Linked DNA regions of Schizosaccharomyces pombe. The protein of the gene in region 1 purifies or fractionates together with the protein of each later gene. This does not show direct contact. Each region holds a gene or a part of one and is shown on either strand. Other genes may lie near its edges.

What was found. Proteins that work in one complex are often made in the same cells at the same time.
Region 2: the proteins of atg43 (region 1) and mim2 purify together in Schizosaccharomyces pombe (affinity purification with western blotting; one study listed by BioGRID). This does not show direct contact.

Annotation. Positions count from the first base shown.
Region 1 is NC_003424.3:5,220,693-5,228,634, reverse strand, and holds atg43 (mitophagy receptor Atg43), read left to right. Parts: upstream 1-2,585; 5' UTR 2,586-2,663; coding exon 2,664-3,398; 3' UTR 3,399-4,026; coding exon of another isoform or gene 4,027-5,451; 3' UTR 5,452-6,832; downstream 6,833-7,942. Other genes in the region: Smc5-6 complex SMC P-loop ATPase subunit Smc5, read left to right, coding at 1-2,229; uga1 (4-aminobutyrate aminotransferase (GABA transaminase)), read right to left, coding at 4,027-5,451; SPOM_SPAC19D5.10C (uncharacterized protein), read left to right, coding at 6,916-6,924, 6,994-7,248; RNA NAD-cap (NAD-forming) hydrolase/RNA pyrophosphohydrolase Din1, read left to right, coding at 7,357-7,942. UniProt on the Schizosaccharomyces pombe protein: Mitophagy receptor that tethers atg8 to the mitochondrial outer membrane to promote selective autophagy.
Region 2 is NC_003423.3:1,162,042-1,165,385, reverse strand, and holds mim2 (protein mim2), read right to left. Parts: upstream 1,217-3,344; 5' UTR 1,069-1,216; coding exon 894-1,068; exon of another isoform or gene 878-893; intron 707-877; exon of another isoform or gene 545-706; coding exon 501-544; downstream 1-500. Other genes in the region: telomere cap complex subunit Stn1, read left to right, coding at 2,304-2,412, 2,468-2,566, 2,721-3,344.

The sequences.
Region 1 (7,942 bases):
ACACTTTTACGGAATGCAAATCTTACATTAAATGAAGCACAACAATCGGTGAAGTCATTAACAGAAAGACAAGGCCCAAGACCTTCGGATAACGGTGTTCAAGATCTACAAGAAAAGATGCAAGAAGTTAATGCGGAAAAACTTCAACATGAAAACGAGAAACTTGAGAGCTCTCATGAACTAGGTAGTATCAGAACATTGAAAGCACAAAAGCTTATTGACCTTGATAACATTAAAAGAGAGTTGTCCTACTACAACGATGCTACGAAAAGGAAACTAGACTTTATGTCTTCTGCTCCAGGCTGGGAAGATGCTTATCAGACGTATCAGTTATTGAAGGAATACGAATCTGCGTTTGAAGCACCCGCATACGGCCCAATTTATATGAATTTGAAATGTAAGGAAAAAGGGTTTGCAGCTTTGATAGAAGGGTTTTTTCGCACGGATACGTTTCGAACATTTATAATGTCAAATTATAATGATTATCTAAAGTTAATGGATCTTATCACTTCAAAAACTAAGTACACTCCTACTATAAGAGAATTCTCCAGTGAACGAAAAAAGAAGATAGAAGATTTTGAACCTCCATGCTCTCGTGAGAAGCTTCAGTCTTTCGGGTTTGACGGATATGTGATCGATTTTTTAGAGGGGCCAGAAGTGGTTTTGGTTGCTTTGTGCCATATGTTAAAAATTCATCAAATTCCGATTGCAAAAAGGGAACTACCTCCCGCATCAGTGAATGCGTTAAACAATTTTCGTCTGGCTAACGGGGATCCAGTTCTTAAAACTTACTTGGCGGGCTCATCTATCCACTTGGTTTTTCGTTCAGCTTACGGTGATAGAGAAATTACTAGGCGAACAGACCCATTACCTTCTCGCAGTATATATTTTTCCGAGAACGTTGAGATGGATTTGGTAAAGCGAAAGGAGGAGCAACTAAATGCTCAACTCTCTCAATTGGAAAATTTACAGAATGAGGAAAGAAAGTTACAAGAAAAGGTAAATGAGCACGAATCGCTGCTTTCTCGTACAAACGATATATTATCTACTCTACGAAAAGAGCGTGACGAAAAATTAATTCCTATTCACGAATGGCAACAATTACAAGAAAGAATAGAACACCAAACTCTTCTACTAAGACAAAGAGAGAAAGTTCCTGAGCAATTTGCAGCTGAAATTGAAAAAAATGAAGATATCAGGAAAGAGAACTTCGAAGCTCTTATGAATTCGGTGTTAAAAGTTAAGGAGAATTCAATTAAAGCTACGAATAATTTCGAGAAGATGTTGGGAAGTAGACTTAATGTCATAGAAGCGAAATACAAACTTGAAAAACACGAGATGGATGCCAACCAAGTCAACGCTCGATTGACAGAAGTACAAGATCGTCTTAAAGATATTACCGATAAGTTAGCCTCAGCAAGGGAGGATGCTATGTCCTTGTACGGTTCAGTGGTTGATTCATTGCAGACACAATCATCTGACAGACAAACGGCAATAACTGAATTAAATGAAGAATTTGCTACTAGTTCGGAAGTGGATAACAAAATTAGCATCGAAGAAACGAAACTGAAGTTTATGAATGTTAATAGTTACGTTATGGAACAATATGATGCGCGTAAAAAAGAAATTGAGGAACTAGAATCGAAAATGTCAGACTTTGATCAATCCGTTGAAGAGCTCCAAGACGAGATGAACTCAATCAAAGAGGATTGGGTTAGTAAGTTAGAGGAGAATGTTCAATGTATTAGCGATAGATTTTCTAAAGGAATGAGTGGAATGGGATATGCTGGAGAAGTTCGACTAGGGAAATCCGACGATTATGATAAATGGTATATCGATATTTTAGTACAATTTCGAGAGGAAGAAGGACTTCAAAAACTTACGGGTCAACGACAATCTGGTGGAGAACGTTCTGTATCTACTATAATGTATTTATTATCTTTACAAGGTTTGGCAATTGCTCCGTTTCGAATAGTTGATGAAATAAATCAAGGAATGGATCCTCGAAATGAACGAGTTGTGCATAGGCATATCGTCAATTCAGTGTGTGACAACGCTGTTTCACAATACTTCTTAGTCACTCCAAAGTTATTACCAGATTTGACATACCATCGAAATTTGAAAGTGCTATGTATTTGTAATGGTGCTTGGTTACCAGCAACTTTTAGAACATCCCTTTCTACCTATTTTGAAAAGTTAAAGAAGTCCGCACTCATTTCTTCGTCATAAATGCTACATTACCATATTTGTCTTGTTGGCATACTTTTTCTTAATTTTTGATATTTGTTTTGTCCGATGGTGTTTTGTTTACTAAAGAATTTATTTTATGAGTTTTAAAATTTTGCATACGAAGTTACCCGTTAGTCATTTCGTTCCTTAGAGTCACCGAAAATTTGACCGTTAGATTTAATAAATTAATAATATCATTATCTTTAATTATTGCTTTCAGCATCCTGACATTTAAAATGTTATATCTTTATTGCTTAACTTATTCAAAAGATACATGTGCCCTTAACGTAGTTTTGTGTAATACAATTATCGCGCAACACCGTAGATGTGGCGCTATCGGGAATCCATATTAACGTAAACAACAAAGAATTGGGATCATTCTTGTGCTTACCCATTTCTGTTCATTAGACATTGATTTTAGAGAAGCTTTATTAATGTCTTCTGAAAGCAAAGGAATACCAATTCCCCGCTCTGATTCTAACAAAACCAGCGACGTTAGTTCGTGGGAAGAAGATTACGAATTGATCAGCTTAGGCTCCAGTCAAGACGCTTTGCAAAGATCAGGCATTCGAAGTGCTCATGGAGATTCAGGATACGCGTCTTCTCCACTGCGAATGGAACATTTGAGTTCATCCACTATAATTATCAATAATCAACTAAAGAAGATAGACGTGAACGAAAGTATTCCTGAGAACTCAACGTTGCATAACAAGTATGAACTTGGTGCTGTAGAGAGCTCAACAAGTTCTCTTAGTTTGCTCCAGAGTAAAGAAGAAGATGATAGCAGTAATTGGGAAACTGAGGATTCAGAATCTGCCGTCGAAGAGGCAGAGCTTCCCACTATATTCGAGGGAAAAACAGTGATATCTCCTAGTAGCTCTGGTACGGATCACAGTGAAGCTGTCGAATATACTGTTCCTACAGCTCCCCCAATACCGGACTTGCGATTCCAACAGTCATATCTCCAATCTATTCAGCGTGCAAATGGGTCTGCCTTTTTAGTTGCATTAATTACTCTTCGTGATCACGTTCTATATCCATTTTTAAGCGGAGGGATGTGGGTTTTTGTTCGCCATATTTTCCAATTCTTAAAGCTCCAAGAGAAAGGGTTTCACTTTGGCCAGTCGCTTCGCCGGAATCTGGGCTTGTTTTCTACCTTCAAGGATTAATCCACGTTAGATTAAGTGTTATAGAGCTATCCAATTGCTCTCATCAGTTTTTTAGTTTTCTTATTTCCTTTGTAATGGCCCTATTCTATTGATATGAATTTTATAAGTTTTTTTAACACCAGTCATTTCCCCCTTTTTGTCTAGCACACTTTCATGGCAAATGATTTTTTTAAAGATTAATGAAATTAAAGCAAATGTGTTCTAGTAGGTTTGCCAACCGAGCATCGTCTCAATTCTTGGGTAACAACTATAAATTTGTTTTTTCCACCTTTTGCTGCTAATTAGTTAGCATTTACGGCGTCACTTTTATTCCAACACTACTTCATTCTCATTGCCAAGATAGCTAGCAATATAATCAGTCCTAACTATTAAGCTACTATATCACAATTTCAATGTTTGATAGAACGATTTGTTTTTCTCTTCATACAGCGAACAAATTTGTATCTGATAGAAATCATATATTTTTGACTATTATGATAAAATTAACTAATATTAAACTACAAAACAAACAGAACAGCAATATCGGCCATCCAAATTTTAGTTGACATAAATGCGGAATAGGTGTTCATGGGAACAAAAAGTGTGATCTTTCTTTTTTTTTCTGTTTTTTTACAAAAAAAGGGAAAATTTAAATCAATTCGTCAATCTTCTTGAGAAGGATTTGAGCATGGTGCTTTTGGAATACAAGCATAGGACGAAGACGAATAGCAGCTACACCACAGCCACCAATGTTGACACCATTAATTCTCATGTCAGCACAGAATTTGTCACGGGCTGCAGGAGACTCACAATCCCAAGCGATAAAAGTACCCTTTCCCTTACCGCGGAGGTTGTTGATTTTGCCAGGGTGCTTACGAGCAAGCTCTTCAAGTCCAGCATACAAGAAATCGCCAACAGACTTGACGTTATTAAGGAGATCCTTGTCTTGAATTTCTTGAAGAATATATCTAGATTGAACAGCACGGAATGGGTCACCCATCCAAGTATTGAAGTGCTGATAAGCATGAGGACGAAGAGCCAAATCATGATAGAAAATACCGGCAGCCTGGAATTTCTTGGAAAAGGTAACCATGTCAGGAGGATAGGGTAAATTCCATTGCTCGTGAGCCCATAAAGTACCGGTAGAGCCGACACCAGTTTGGACTTCATCGACGATAAACTTGACATCATGCTTCTTCAAAGTAGCTTGAAGCTTGTGGAAAAAGTCAGGAGAGGCATGGTTGTCACCACCCTCAGATTGAATGGGCTCAATGATACAGGCAACGACAGGGCAATGGTGGTTAGTTAAAATTTGCTCGACCTGGTCAATGCAGCGTTGCTCCTCCTTTGCATTCTCTTCGACGTGCTCTTCCAAAGGATACTTCAAAGCAGGGAAATCAGCTTGAGGCCATGGGAAAGCAGGCATACCAAGCTTGTGAACAGGCTTGGAGCGAGTAGTGGAAAGAGAACCAAAGAGACGTCCGTGGAAAGAGTGACGGAAAGAGAGAACAGCAACTTCGGGAGATCCAGGAGCAGCGTTGTTTAAGCAGCTCTCGTTCTCTTCAGCAGTGTAATCACCAGTAGGTCTAGGCTTGTTGTTGAAATGATGAAGCATAGCAAGCTTGTAAGCAATCTCGTTGGCATCACTTCCACTCATTTGAAAGTAAACATACTTTTGACCCTTGGGGGCATATTTGATGGCACCCTCATAAGCGACACGAGCCCATTCCTTAGGAGGGTAATTTCCCAAAGCAGGACGGTTCATTAAAATGGTAGCGACTTCGTCCGACTTGGCAGCCTTGAGGAGAGTAGGATTGTTGTAGCCAATGGGGATAGTAGCGATTTGAGAGTAAACATCCAAGAGAACGTTACCATCCAAGTCGACAAGATAGTTACCAATGGACTTTTCATAGTCTACAGGAAACTTGACAGCGCTGATGTCGTGGTATTTGGACATTTCTTCAGCAGCGGCCTTACCTTTGGGACCGGGAATAGTTTCGGTCTTAATGCTAGGGCCTTGAGGCTCATTGGGAAAAAAATGAGTGCTTTCAGTAACGGTGGCAGTAGAAGACATGTTGAATAGAAAAGTATAGTCTAAATGGAGGAGAACCTTAACTTAAGGCAGTAGAAAGTAAAATTAAAAAAATAAAAATAAAAAATAAAAACAAATGTTTACAATGAAACTCTTTTGCTAAGTTCTATGCAAAAGCAGGAAAAAAAAGAAACAAAAAAACAAAAACCTCAAAATGTGAATGATAATACTTTGTTTTTTAAAAAAAGATGCTGTTTTCGTAGGAAATCGCTTTCCTTTTATAATTCGTCTCGCACGACAAATTTCCAACTTTTGATTGCGGATTTTAACCTTCTCAATTACAATCTATGCTCGGGCAACATTTCCTAAACTTCCCATATCCAGCTCGCTAAGCGGTGATAGATAAAAAATGTGGTCGGTACACTTGGCCATCGGCAACCGATACCAATTTGCAAGGCAAACGATTTTCTATGGGGATATTCGGATGATCGAAAGAAACAATAGACGAAACTCATGATTTCATCTGCGACTTTGCATCCTTCAGAAGGTTGGCAAAAACGAACATCGAGGTATCATTGTAGATGTAAATGAATGTGCATGGACAATTCTGATGAATATGTTCAAAAAATTATCAATCACGATGGGCAAAAGGAAAAAATTTCACGGAGATAGCAAAACGCTCGGATTGCCTTTGAAAGGATGAGTGGAAAATAAATCTTTAGATTTTTATTAAGTTAAAGAGAAAATCACTTTTTTTATCAGTTGGGATTGAAACGTTTGGGACAAACGGTAGGCGGTTTTAGCACAGGTGGCCAAGATATGCATGCGTATAATTTAGATTTTTTCATCTTTGACATTAGCGATACTAAAGCGTTTCGATACGAAAACGTTGCGATACAAAAACGTTAAGAATATTGTTTAACTAATGGTTTTTGATCCATGGGTTTATACCACATAGTCAATTAATAAGTACTTGTTTTCAAAGTGTCACAAAAACATCTGGGATATTAAGAGTGAATATGAGGTGGAAATAGTAAATTCTAATGCGTCCCCTTCATGAAATACATTTCCTTTTCTCTTTCAAAATTACCCTACATTTGTAGCTTCTACCAAATTACTTTTCTAATAACAAATCGTTTGTATTTCTCTTTCCTTTGCTTCCCTGTAGAATAACGCACTAGGGGGGTTTGATGACACGCTATATAGCAATTTATAAGTTATTGTCTAAAATGTTTACAACCATTCCTCGTTTGATATTTGACGAAAGGTTCGACGATCGCTTCAAGTCACTAACACTCCATAATTTAGCTTGACCAAGCTTGATCAATCTTTGGACTGATAATTTTTTGATAATCTTAGGTTAGCGTGAATGAATTGCGCGTCATAATAATAAGTTAACGTGATCAAAGGGATTGCAAATCACCACTTAACATATTAAAACTTGTAATCCTAATGTATATTTACGTGCAGTCATTGATATTTGTTATATAATGATAGCAGAGCTAAATGTACACGGTATATAAAATAAAGATAAGAATGGTAAAGCACATAAACTAGTAGATAACGTTTTACATTAATTTTTAGTCAGCGTCTCTTTTCTTTATCCAAATTGTAATTAGCATTTTCAATAGTCATCTTGCCGTATTGTATTCTATCGCATTGTGTTATTCGGTACAAGGTAGAATCTTAGGTAGCTCCACCACCAATTTCGTGCACGACAGCACAATTGGTGTAAAATCCAGTTGGTCGAGACATTTAATTCATGGTATCAATATCTTTTCTTTTTCCATCTCTCTTTTTCTAATATTTCTGACTATTCCCTTGTTTGACATTGGGTAAACCACATCTGCTTTTTCTCTTTGCACTCTTTACCATAATATTCCAAGTCTATGCGTACATTGCTGTTGAAATCTTTGAACTTCATTCAGTTTTATTTCGTCGTGCTTCATGCTTCGTGAATTTTCGTTTTACGATGTGCCTCCTGCTCACGTGCCACCGGTTTCGGAGCCTTTGGAAATTGCCTGTTATAGTTTATCGAGAGATCGCGAACTGCTGCTTGATGATAGCAAGTTAAGTTATTATTATCCTCCACCGTTATTTTCCGATCTGAACACGGGATTTCCTAATAGGTTTCACCCTCCTAAATCCGACCCTGATCCTATTTCTATTGTAAAGGACGTGCTCATGACTAAAGGCATTCAGATGAATTCCAGCTTTCTTACTTGGCGTGGTTTAATTACAAAAATTATGTGCGCTCCTTTGGATCCCAGAAACCATTGGGAAACTTATCTGGTTATGGATCCCACCAGTGGAATTATTATGATGGAAGAGCGAACTCGATCGGAAACTAGTTATGCCAACCAAGACCGAATGTGTTACTGGGGTTATAAGTTTGAAGCCATTTCCACACTTCCGGAAATATGGGATGCTTGTTCGAGAGACCAAATTGAGCAACGTGACAACCAAGATGTTGTGCCCGACGAGCAGTATTGCTCCATTGTCAAGATCAATATCGGCAAGTCAAAATTGATAC
Region 2 (3,344 bases), on another chromosome or scaffold:
TACAGAATCAACAGATCTAATACTTAAGGTTCTAGAAATGTTGATTTCTAATTAATTTTTTAATTTTAGTCATGAAATTACTATCTGATGAGGCAGGTATAATACTGGAACATAGATTACTAATAGTCACCCCATTAACGTCGTTTATTAATATGTCGAGGCTGTCGTAGATGCAAATGTCTCATTTTTACTAAACAGTTTGTTCATTTGAACAAAAAGAAAGGAAAAAATAATGAATAGTATCAATAAGCAAAACGATGAATACACACATTTCCAATTTTTTTTGAAGTTCGGATTCAAAAACCGTTACAATTTAATAAATGTCGAGTACATTGATTTATACAGTAATCAAATATTCATTAATTCTTATTCAGATCATAAAGAGAATTTCATCCGAGAACGAATGGCACACTATGGGTTTCATCACACAATATCATAATAGAAACAGAAACAATAAGTATTAAACCAGCGAATGTAAGAAGATTCAGAAATAAATCTTTTTAATTACTAACCAAGCGCCTCCGTTCTAACCAGCGAGCCCATGCTAAATCCAAGGGTTAGTATACAATAAATGTACAGAAGTTTAAGGATGTAGAAAAGGTTAAGAATGAAAGACTAATAGAACAGTAATGGAAACAAAAATGTTTAAAAAATAACGAAAGATGTAAATGTAGACCAACAAGCAGACCATTTAAAAACAGTTTATAGGAAGAAAAAGCTATAATTCAAGCTGATGGAATAAGAAAATCAGTTGTGCTCAATCTTTCTCCAAAAACGGATTTTTTTGCTCTATTATTCAATTATTTGCAAAACTTATTTCCTCTTTGAGAAACTAAAAGCAAATAAAAAAAATCCACCATCTATTCCTATTCCTTTAATTTATACTAACTTACCATGAAATGCGAATTTACGACCAAGAAACTTTCCTAACAACGGGAACACCACCAAACATAAAACTCGTTCCAATTGTTCAATGGAATCCTTTAAATCATCATCCAATTCACTAGAATAGGTATCATCTTCTCCATCTGAAATTGGGTCAATTTCAAGATCTAAAACTTCGGCCATGTTGTTTTCACTAAACTGACTTTAGAATAGTTCGATTGAACTAGCAACGTTGTATTTAGAATTTAATTAAAAAATTTTTCTATTGTCAGCAATCGAAACCCCTTTAACGTATGCTTAAAAGTGTATTATTACCAAGTATGGCTCTGGTGAAGGTCACATAGTGGCTGTTACATTTATACATAGGACATTTGTCGAAACAACATTGATCATGTGAGACTAAATTTTGAAAACAGGGAGTATATTCAGCAAAAATAATTCATATTCACTGATGATAAGAGGTTATTTGTTTCTATATGCTTTACCTATGAGTTTGGGTACATTGTTTGTATTCTTGGTATTGCTAGTTTATTCAATTTCAGATGAAAGCTGAGCAGAACAGCCGCTGTCATGCTATTCGCGGATACCCTTTGTTTCACAACAAATATTTCGACCTAAGAAAAGCCTTTATTTTTGCCATCCTTACCTCTAAGTGCTTTGTTTGGTAACACTTTATTGAAGAATTGATAGACCGTTATAAACATAAAACAAAAAAAAGTTGGGAGTTTTGGTTTTTTTTAGTTACTCTTTTAAAGAATGCATTTTTCCACGAGGTTTCTTGATCGAACACAGTAGGAGCAATATAATTTATCTTCAAAACAGTTGAATGTGAAACATCAATAACTGAAGAAGTTTGGTTTTCATACCTCCTTGCGTATTCCCTATTCATAAATAAATCATATAATTTAGAATTATCCGGTATATGAAGATAGGAATTTGTGTGCTAGAATTTAGCAAGATATAAACAATGCACATTGGTGTGACATTTACAAAATTGGTTGACGAATTCTGTACTCTCACTTTTTGTCAGTAGACGTCTTTTTTAGGATCTTCTCTCAAATTCAATTATAACTAAGTTGCGTGAAACCAGACTAAATTCAATTGATAAAGTTGTTTAGTCAATTAGCATTTTTTATAACAGCATCAATGCATGTCCTAATAAAGAGTTAAGATATTTTTTTTCCTTTTAATCTTACTGTAGAAACTTAAATAGTTATTATCCTCGTAGAATTGCTCTATCCTTATTACGCGCACTCAGGAAGATGAAGACTTCACAAACACCAAATCATTGCTTAATTTTCGAAAACGCTGCGATTGTTGTTGATAGTTGACCAGAAGCATACTAATTTTTATTTACTTATATACTTGAAAAATTGCAAATCATATGGTTGAAAGTCTTTAAGGGAATGACCTAATAAATGCTAGAAAATGAAAATCAACTAACGCATCAATTTCCTACATTATCAAGATGGAACCCCATGTTTATTAGCGATGTTCATAAAATTTCATTTCATCCACATTTACAGCGTAAGTGCTCTTTCTGTAAAATAAATATCACAAAGTGATTCTTACAAATATCTAGGATACATTGGCTTCTGGATGGGATTTCCCATAAGATGGATTCAAATTGTTGGCTATATTGCGGCAATTGATATTTATGAAGGAAAGCATGTTTTAACAGGTAACGAATATCAGCATTGAGGCAATAAGCAGTTCCACTACTGCATACACGACTCATTTAGTTGTTGAATCTAGTTAAGGTTTTTTATAAAATCAACTTTTGAGAAGCATCTGCCTCTATAGCTCCCTTTTTTCTATTTCCTAACTGAATTTAGTGGATGATTGTAGCGGGATGGTATTGCGTGTCGTGTTTATTATTCAAGATGATTTTTCAATGTCAAAAAGAGCAATATCTATGTCTCCTGGAAATGTTGTCTGTGTCTTTGGAAAGATAAATTCTTTCCGATCTGAGGTTGAATTAATTGCTCAGTCGTTTGAAGAACTTCGTGATCCAAATGATGAATGGAAGGCATGGCAGAAAAGGATGAGATACAAAAAAAATTTAACCAAAATCTCTAAAAATCACCATTCAATCATTCGCACACCCAAGAAATCCTATTTTCCTAAAGATCATGCGAAGGAGTTACTTAAGTGCATAAGGCAGATGTGTAAATTAAATGTGCAAGCTGGATTTACAATTGAAGAACTCATTATTTATTTAAAAGCAAAAGAGTTGCACCTCCCACTTGTTCATATATTCAACGTCGAAAATGAAATAGTAGAGAACTGTGATGGAAATCACATACTGGCGCTTAATTTCTCTTTGCAAACATTACTACAACATGGGCGGATTGTGAGAAAGTCAAATTCAGTTTATATGCTTGTCACTTCAAAAGACATAATACGCTTTGTGATTCCTCTGATGGCAAGTGGTCTTCTCGAAGCCCACAAGGTTCAAA